2 linked regions of the Notamacropus eugenii genome follow. The protein of the gene in region 1 purifies or fractionates together with the protein of each later gene. This does not show direct contact. Links are inferred from orthologs where the notes say so. Each region holds a gene or a part of one and is shown on either strand. Other genes may lie near its edges.

Region 1 (5,055 bases):
CTTAGGGATTGGGAGAGCCCATGGGATCCAAACGATGGAAGTCAAACGTTATGCTTCCCTGTCAGGAAACCACCCTCTCCACCTTGCTCTGTCTCACTAGTATTGGGACCCATGTGACCCAAGCCCCAGTTTCTTCCCATTCTTCTTGATGTCAACTTGTTCAGTCCAAAGTCCTATTTGTTCCTCAGATGCTACCTGGGTCCAGAACCCAAGCTTGAGAACCTAGGCACCTTCTTTCAACAGTTAGAGAATGTGAAACTGGAAAAGAGCAATGTAGCTCAATTTTCATGGCTCTTCTGGAGGAAAGGGGATTTGGAGAGGACATTAGAATAGGTGTACAGTCTGGCCCTTGATACCTGGCCCTGGAGGCTGTGGAGGATAAGGGTGGATAAAGGTAGGGAAACTACTCAGGGTGTATGGGTAATGGAATGGAACTAGATACCTGGATTTTGAGTAAGAGCAGAAGTCTGCCATAGCTGAGCCAGACAAGATTAGAAACTTCCAAGCCTAGCTTTTGTGAGAGCCCGAGGGAGTCTGCTCCAGAGCCACCTATTTAGGACTTATCAAGTGGGGGAACCTGAGTTTCACTTTTAGTTTCTGGAAAATCAGGGTCAGGACTGGGATTCCACAGTCCAGGCTTCCATTCCCTCTGCATCCCCCAGCTCCAATCCACTGCCCCCTCTCTGATGAGAATGGGGATAGGGATTCAGGCATCTGGACTCTTAGCCCAATGCTTGACTCCCCTCCTCCTGGCCCCTCCAAGAACCACAGGAATCTGGGACCCTGGTGTCCTGGCAACATGACGCACAGGCTCTGGGCGTCTGTTTTGAATTACTAGTTAAAAATAAGTCCTACAGTTAAAAACGGAGAGGGGCTGAAGGGGGGGAAGGGACCTCGGAATGTTCTTCCTCCCATCTTCTGGGCCCGATATCTGACAGTCTTGGTTCTTGTTTATGAACCTTGGGGAGATAGAAAGGATGGGATGCAGGTCCCTTGAGTCTTGTTCTCCAACCTGGGTTTGGGTTGGAGAGGCATGGGGTGGGGGTGGGAGGGAAGGATAAAGGTCAGAAAAATTCAGAACCTTAAGGTGGGTAGATGATTTGGATGTCTCAGGTATCCAGAGCTTGAGCCCCTCAACTGAATGCAGGCATCCCTTCCCCCACACTTGGTTTGCTCAAATCTTAGTTGCAGAATGGGCTGCCCAGATGTGGGCAGGAGGGGGTAAGGGGAGGGTGACTCATTGGTTACTATGGAAGGGAACCCATGGGGAGAAGTGGAGTGAGTCACTTTTTGGGTACCAGCCTACCCCGCCCCCACCTGCATGGGACCCCTTAACTATGTTTTCCCCCAACTTTACTACTTGGCCCCTATTTCTCCTTCCAGATACTCCTGATCCACCCTTTGCCCACTCCCACATTTTCACTCTTCTGTTCTTAGTCTTTTGGAAAGGGGTAAAGCCCTGGGCAGGCAGACAAGTTCCAGACCATAGAGACATCCATCAAAGTTACAATGTACACAAGAGCGCATGGGGGACAACACCATGAAGGGCCTGGACACCCCCCCTCCATTTCAACCTAAGGTCCTACTGCCTAAGAATTCGGTGCGCATGCTGCTGTTCCTTTAAGAATGTGGCCCCTCCCCTCTTCCCAGGCTTATTTGAGCCTTAGCTCCACAGCCCGGTGACTCAGACTCAGAGTGTCCAAGAGCGCCGCGTCTACACTGGGCGGCCTACTTACCCAAGAAGGGCTAAGATCAGAACTCCGGGAGGTCGCCCATCCGAGCTCCGAACCCTAGCGGGCACCTGTCTCCGAGAGGAGGCTCAGCTGCCCGACTTCTGCAAACCTTCCCTTCCCCGTCTTCAGGTCCTTAATCTTCAGGGACCCCCTGCCCCCAGGGCGCTGCCACCCTGCCTGCCATGGATACCCCGTCGCAGCGGCGTGCCACCCGGAGCGGGGCACCAGCGGGCTCCACCCCGCTGTCCCCGACTCGGATCACGCGGCTGCAGGAAAAGGAGGACTTGCAGGAGCTGAACGACCGGCTGGCTATCTACATCGATCGGGTCCGTTCGCTAGAGACGGAGAACGCGGGCCTTCGCCTCCGGATCACCGAGTCTGAGGAGGTGGTGAGCCGGGAGGTGTCCGGCATCAAGGCCGCCTACGAGGCCGAGCTCGGAGACGCCCGCAAGACCTTGGACTCCGTAGCCAAGGAGCGCGCCCGTCTGCAGCTGGAGCTGAGCAAAGTGCGGGAGGAGTTTAAAGAGCTCAAAGCTCGGTGAGTGGGCCCCGGTGTCAAGGAGCTCCGTTCGGCCCAGGGAAAGGGGATTCATTGGGAGGGTGGGGTGGCAGTGGTGGTGTCTGTAGCTCCCCAGAGCGAGGAAGCGGCAGGTGGCATAGCCTGGGGGTGGGGAGAGAGAAAATATCCATCCTTCCTTCTGGGAGGTCTTCTCAGGTAAGAGGGGTGGAAGGAACCCTAGGAAGGAACAATTTTGCCTGTTCCAGAGTTCCTAACCTCCTAGGTGGTTAGGCTGAGTCAAATGGCAGTTACATGTCAGGTCAGAAGAGCCTCTGAGTAGAGGAACTAGGAGAATTGGGTGCATTTGGAGGTGAGGTGGAAAGCAAGTCGGAGAATGCTACCAATAGACTCATATGTCACAGTGCCTGGGTCCCTGCCTGAGGAGCACTGGCTGAGTCCAGTTGGGACTTTGCCAGGCTCCTGAAGCCCCAAGGAGAAGATTGGGCAATGACCAACTGGAGCTAGCATTGCCCAGGCAGGAAGTCCTAGAGGTGTTGGGGTGGTTGAAAGGGTCCTGTCAAGTATTACCCTTGCATGAATTGGCACCACGCCTACCTTGCCCAGGCTGTCTCCATGCACGTGGTATACTAGTCAAGCATAGGCTTCCAAGCCTGGCACCATACCTAGCAATGCTTTTGTCGGGGTGGTAGGGAAGTTTGGAAGACTGCTGATTCCCCTTTCCCTAGTACATGGGGGCATGGAAACCTCCAGCCAATGGTGAGCACGGGCATTCTTGCCCTTCTTGGAAGGACTCTGCAAGGTCCCGTACCCCTCCCGCTCCCCCATTGCCTGGGTCTTTATTTATTTTTTTACAGTGACTAAGCAACAAAAAAAGTTCTAGCTCCCAGAATTTCCATATTCCTTGGCCTCTCTAGGATGGGAATAAAGAGAAAGGGGCTTGTGGCTAGAGATTCCAGTCTGGATTATGGTGCTCTGTGTCCTATCTTGGAGGAAAATCGGGAGGGTATTTACCCTGCAAACCTAGCACCCCCTGATCTTAGTGAGCGTTCAATCTTGAGTTGGCTCGAGTCCATCTTTCTTGCCTTCCTGGAGACCCCAGTCATTCTTTATGCCTGGGCTGGTCACTTTCATTTTCTGTGGTCAGGTTTGTGCAACTATGTCATCTGGTTCATCCCTTTCCTCTGACGTTTGTTCTTTGCTCATTAAAATGCTTGGAGATTATGACTTTTTTGAAAATCAACCGTTGTTAATCGGCAGCCTCCCCTGGGGCCCCTCCTACTCTCCTCCACCCCACCCCACTTAAAAAAAATGACTTTGGGGAGGATTGGTCTTCTTACCACAAGTCCTAAGGCATTTTTTATTTTAATGCTTGTATCTGCCTTTTCCTTAGTGAGACCAGTAAATATGTTTAGAGATTCCTCAGTAACTCTGGATTTGGGATCTTGCACTTTCTTAGCCATTTTCTCTAAAGTCTGTTTTTTTTCAAAAATCTGTTCCTCTCGAAATAATTTCCAGAGTATTTCTTGTGCCTTCCCACCTCCCACCTCCCCCTTTTTCTGTTAGATTTCATCGTACCCTTTCCCCTCCTTCAATCTTATTCCGCAACTGGCCCAGGAAGAACCCAAGTTAGTAGAGTGTGGAAAAAAAACACTAATTCTCCTCATGGCCTTGCTTAAATAATTTAACCCATTTTTTCCCCATGTGATCTGTTCAAGGCGAATGAGTCAAGAAGAAATATGTAAGAACTAGTTAATAGTCTTAAATGAGTTCCTTCTGGAAGGGAAGATTTTGGCTGCTATTCTTTTTGGAAAGAACAATGGGGTTAATAGAACTGTGTCCAAGGGTTGCTCGTTATTTTCTTGATTTTGAAACGTTGTTTGACTCTCCCTACTTTGCAGCTGTCCCATTGTGGCTTCTGGGACCAGTGTGGGGGGGTGGGAGGTGGGGGTAGAGACAGGGGTGTATCCTATGTATGTGTTATATTTAGCCAGCTGCCTCTATTCTCCCCCACAGATCCTGACTTGGGGTGGGGCTGGGCTTCCGGAGAAGGCTGGGTGCCCTGGGGCAGTGGGGATGAGGGTAAATTTCAAAGGAAAGTTGAAGGCTCTGAGTTGGGGTGACTGGGATAAAGGGTGCTTTCAGACCTTTTTTGTCCCCTTCTGCACACCCCAGGATAATAGAGAATTAAGGACAGCCCTCTTCTCATCCTCTCTGTTTGAAGGTAGCCACAGGAGGAGCCAGTCTTTCCCAACGCTTGCCCTCAGCGATACCTTCCCTTTAGTAGATTCTGGACCCCGAAGTCTAAGAACTCTTCATATTGCTAAGTGTGCAAAGCCAAGGCCCCCACTTAAAATATCTGTGACCCTCAGACCCTTCCTTTTTTTCCACTGAGTCAAATAGGATTCACCCTCTGAGTCTATGGAAAGTAGAATCAAAGTTAGAGGAGCTCCGGGTCTTAGATAGTCAGGATCAGTAGCTTAGGAAAATGTTAGGGGAAGGAAGGGGGATGGTGGACAGCTGTATTGGTGACTCACAGTTGCTGCCTTATTATATCCCCACCCTGTGGTGCTGGTGATAGTGGTGGTGGTGGTGGTGGTGGAGAGGGTAGCTAACAGATAACCTCAAAGAAAGGGAAGGGGTATAGACTGATGGGTTGTTGGGTCTCAGTGTCTGGGGACTAATAACCAAGAGCCCGAATTGCCTTTTCTTTGGCAAGAGTGGTCCTTATAAAGATCGCTTACATTCCTAAGCACTTTGAAGATTTATAACATGCCTTCTTGATAATGCTACGAGATAAGAAGT
Region 2 (5,055 bases), on another chromosome or scaffold:
TTTCAAAGTCCAAATCAAATTCTATCTTCCACGAATTGAGAATGATTGATGCCTCTACTAATAGAACCACAGCATCTGGAGCTCATTTTACACGTGAGGAAAGAGGCTTAGAGATTTTATTTACCACAGTGATACAATACCACAATGACAGTAAATAGCTGAGCTAGGATTCCATTTCAGGTCCCCAGACATCAAATTCACCACTACATTAACTCCCTTCCTACACAGATATACTCAAGAAATATCCGGAAAAGCTCAAGATAAAGGGCTTCACAGGAACAAGTCTTTGAATTTTATATATAATACAGTGTAATGTTTACAAAGTATTTTTCTTTCACCAATCTTATGAGAATGTAAGCATAGGAGTTGGTCTTCTGACTCAAAAGACCAGTATTTTCTAGGTATTCTCTAACCTGTGTAAAGGATACAAATCAGTGCTGTGAAAGGCAGCTAGGAAGCAGAAGACTGCCCACATGGGGTTCTATCCTATGCAAACTATGTGGATAAATCAGAAACTTTTGATGAAACTGTACTGACATGAAAGGAAAATTCCAATAAGAAAAAAAGGAAGTTATCTTAAAAAAAAAAAGGCAAATAAGGATAACACAGGGAATTCATCAGCCACAATAAAATTTCAAAAATACATATACACCAGTTAGATGCAAGGGCAGGCAACAGAGGATGAATGCAAAAGTTTGGCATAACCTTGTTCTAATAGTCATTAATAGGTCATTGTTAACTGGAAAGATCTCCACCAGAGAAACTCAGGAATTTGTACTTGGACCTTTTTATCAATGATTTATTGATATTGATTAAAAAGAAGGCTGTAAATAATAGAACTCGAGTTTTCATGTGCAACCTTCTCCTTCTATTTTATTATGTATGTAAAAATTCTTCATTTGATACTGAAAATGAAAAAAATCTATTATCAGTGAATTAAATAAAGGTCGTTGGTTGCTGAATCTAAAGATGACACAAAGCTAGCTGAGAAGGAAAGCTAACTCCTTGGAGGTCAGGATCAAAAGGGAATTCACAGGTTGGAACACTGGGCCACATCTAATTAAGACGAAATTTAAGAGAGATATATGTAGAGTCTAATATTTAGGTTCAAACAATGAACTTTGTACAGGTAAGGTGGAGGATAGCAGCAATCTGGGAGTTTCAGTGGAGTGAAAATTCAATGACTCTACAATAGTATGATAAGGTAGTCAGTAGCCCCTAAAGACTGCACAGTTGGATTAGTATGCTTATGGTGGCTGTTGTCTGTCCTTCATTCTCAAGAGGGTGATGCCATGACATACAAGTGAGTTGGATTTAAGTAAGGGAGGGCTTCATCAGCCTCACTTTCTCCTCTGAAGCTATCTGGGTTCAGTGGCCAGATATGAATCAGGACAACTGGATAGGGCCCAAGATGCAATGAGAGATCTTGCCTTAGATCTTGCCTTTTTAAGCTAAGGTCTTTAACAGGTCTCAGTTTGACTGAGGCAATACTCATTCAGTGATTGAGGCCTAATAAAAATGAGGCAGAGATTGGCTTCTTTACCTAGTTTTTAAAAAAAAAAAAAATCAATCTGGGAGGAAAAGACTCTCAGGGTTTCTGACCAAAACAGAAACAATCACTATTTACGTTCACTCAGAGCCAATCAGGGGTTTCTGTCAGTCACTTCTGTCAGTCTTAAGTTTCCTGAACTATAAAATGGGGATGATAACAATAATAGCACCAACCTCCCAGGGTTGTTGCAAGGATTAAAGGAGATATTTGTAAAAGGCTCAGGGCAATGCCTGCCACATTCAAAGTGCAATTAAGTGCTAGTAACTGCTGCTACCGCTGCTATTACTACTTCCATCACTACTACAGGTACAGCATTTAAGGAAGGGAACTGATAAAAGATAGAAACTATCCAGAAATATGGATCAGAATGGTGAAGGGCCATGAAACCTTATGAGAGGAGAATGAGTCCTGGGGATGTCTAGCCAGGAGAAGAAAAGGCCTGGTGGGGGGATATGATAGCTGTCTCCAAGAACCTGAGGGGCTGCCACACAGGAAAGGGATTAGTCTGGTTCCGCTTGGCTCCAAAGAACAAAAGAAGGAGCAAGGAAGGATGGAGGGCAAGGTAAAAGTGCATAAGCAAGTTTAGGCTTGGTTTGCATAGACAAGCTTCCTACAGTTAGAATTATCCAAATGCTGACTGGATTGTCTGGAGGGAGTAGGTTCCCTCCCATCCTGGACTATTACTTCTAAGTATGTTTTAGAGGAGTCTTTTCAACTTTTACAGGTTGGACTAGAATGCTAGCACCTTCTAGCTCTGGAGTCCTGCAATTCTATGGCTTTTATGGCAGTCTCAAGGCTTCAGGGATTTAAAAATGAATTTATGAGATTAAAAATAGAAAGTGAAAAGATTGGGCAGATAGGAATGAAGGATATTTTGTCAATGGAGTACAATGACATGAAAGACATTCCAATGAGTTGTTGAAACCCAATAAGGCTGTGTTGGGGGAGAGGTGAAGATCGGCTATCTGATAAGCTGGGCTGGGACCTCCTTCCAAGTTCTTAGAATGTGTCAAGCAGCTCACAGTCACACTGGGCAGAGTGCAAGTCAACTTAGCACAAAAGCAAGGAAGCTTGATGACACTCTCTGGACACTCCTAGGTAACTAATGATTATTCAGTACAGATAGGTAACAAAAGGCTGCCAGTGTTGCCTATTGAGTTTCATTACCTGACAGTTGCTTTTTCATGACTGAGATCCAGATCTACTCAGGGTGGTTGTTCCTCTGCTTGCCTTGGCACAGAGCTGACAAGGGGAGCTAAAAAAGGTGATTATATGACTGTATTTTTGTCACTATGGCAACAGGGAGAATATCTCACAAATACTGGCTTATGACTTCACTGGAGGACCGAGGAAGGGGAGTTATAATGATTATTAAGGACAAATTCACATCAAAACATTACCTTACCATAGAACAAGGTCCAAAGGAAGAAACATTATCAGAAAGGTCCTTTTAGATCTGTGTCTGTGCCTATGCCATGGGCCAAGGAGGCCTCCTTGATTCAAGCTGGTGGCAGAAATTCACTTTTTTTCACTCTTCAGGAACCTGCTATCTAGAAGACCTTAAATTAGTTACATCATTTCTCTATGTCTCAGTTTCTTTAGCTGTAAAATGGTGGGAGGAGGGGAAAATCACATTCTCCAGCTAGTCTTTGTTGACAGGGAAATATAGTCTGCACCACAGTATAGGCAAGGGATCTGGATTGGGCTGAGTGTTCCCCAAAGTAGTTATTAACAGATGGGTTACCAATTTGGAAGTAAGTTTCTATCAGAATGTTCCATTCTTGTACTGTTTACTATCAACCAACAAGCATTTACTATGTGCCAGGCACTAGATTTAGTGTGCTAGGGATTTAAAAGAGGCAAACAGTTCTTGCCCTCAAGAAGCCTATATTCTGATATAATTTGGATGAGACAAAGGTGGAACACTCAACAAATCTGCAGACACAAAGGTGGGAAAGAGAGTTAACATACTTGATGACAAAGTCAGGATCCAAAAAAAAACCTTGGATGGGTTAGAGCAATAGGCCAAATATACTAAAATTATTTATTTTTTTGGCTCAGAGAATTATCTTTTTTTTTAAAGAATCATGATTCAAAAAAAAAATTTCTCTTGAAAAAAAACCTGCCCATTGTCTTCAAAGACCTTACATTAAAAAAAAACAAAAAACCAGCCAGCTATTTTTAAATGGTCACGTATAGCTGGGTGTGGAGTCAGCAAGACTCATCTTCCTGAGTTCAAATCTAGTCTCTGACACTTACTAACCAGCTGTGTGACCCTGGGCATGTCACTTAACCCTGTTTGTCTCAGTTTCCTCATCTGTCAAATGAGCTGGAGAAGGAAATGGAAACCACTCCAGCATCTTTGCCAAGAAAACCCCAAATGGGGTCATATAGAGTCAGACATGACTGAAATGAATGAACAACAACAAACCAGGAGGGGAGGGTATATCAAAGAGGTCACCTGAAAAAGATCTGAGAATTTAGGTGGCAGAAAACTGAGTATGAATCATCAGTATTGAGTGGGATACTTAGTGAAGACTCCTCAGATTGTAATTTTTCTCCCAGGGGTGAGGTAAGGCCTAAAGGCTCAAGGTTACAATATTTTTAGAATAGAATAGTTCCATATAAGGATATAAAACTGTGTAGTGTATTAGGGTCTCAATGACTGGACAAAACTTACATAATTCCTCGATGTCTTCATTTCAAAAGGGATTGGTTAGATTTCGTGTCTAGAATGTAAGACCATATTCTCAGCTAATGAGGATAATGGTCAGTGGGGGGAGGAGGGACTTGCGTTAGGGTCTATATAAATCACTGTCCTGTTCTTTGTCTTTCCTACTCCTACAGGTGAACCCCACTTCTCGAGAATCGAATAAATCACTTTTCTGTCATCACTTTGAGAGGCCTCTGAGTAATTGATTTATGTAGGGACCTGAGCCATCCCACACAGTATAAAATAGTAACTTGATCAAAGCTGATGAGATCTTGGGCTAGAGCAGAGTGTCCACAATAAGGGAGCAAAGAATTTCGCTGTCTTTTCCCCTGTCATCTGGAATATTACATTCAATTCTGGGCACTCGTTTAAGAAAAAAAATAATTGAGAATCAAGAGGATGACACCCCAGACAGCAAAGGGCTTCAAAATCAGGCCACATGAGGAGCGTCTGTTGAAGGAAGTAGACGTGCTTCACTTGGAGAAGATGTGGATGGAAAAAGGATCATTTATCCTGCTTAGACCCATGGCATATTAGCATGAACAGCAGATTACAGCGAAATAGGTTTTTGCATTGACCTAACAAAAAGCTTCCTAAAAATAAGAATGAAAGAGACTGTTAATCTTCACCCTAATGCTGGGTAACAGCCTGGCAGCTAGGTTGTGGAGCGGGGCTACCATGTTTTCCACTCTGACCCCTGCTCTGCGGCGTGGCGGGGCCTCCGGGCATGCGCAGTGCAAAGTGCCCACCTGGAATTCATTAAGCATTTGATTTTCAGTTAATTTCCGGT

The links. The genes of interacting proteins can lie anywhere in the genome.
Region 2: the proteins of LMNA (region 1) and KPNA6 purify together in Homo sapiens (affinity purification with mass spectrometry; 4 studies listed by BioGRID and IntAct, with this or other methods). This does not show direct contact. The link is inferred for Notamacropus eugenii from reciprocal best matches to the Homo sapiens genes LMNA and KPNA6.

The regions. Positions count from the first base shown.
Region 1 is NC_092873.1:380,199,519-380,204,573, forward strand, and holds the start of LMNA (lamin), read left to right. Parts: upstream 1-1,652; 5' UTR 1,653-1,915; coding exon 1,916-2,271; intron 2,272-5,055.
Region 2 is NC_092876.1:77,691,674-77,696,728, forward strand, and holds the start of KPNA6 (importin subunit alpha-7), read right to left. Parts: upstream 2,839-5,055; 5' UTR 2,739-2,838; coding exon 2,720-2,738; intron 1-2,719. UniProt on the Homo sapiens protein: Functions in nuclear protein import as an adapter protein for nuclear receptor KPNB1. Binds specifically and directly to substrates containing either a simple or bipartite NLS motif.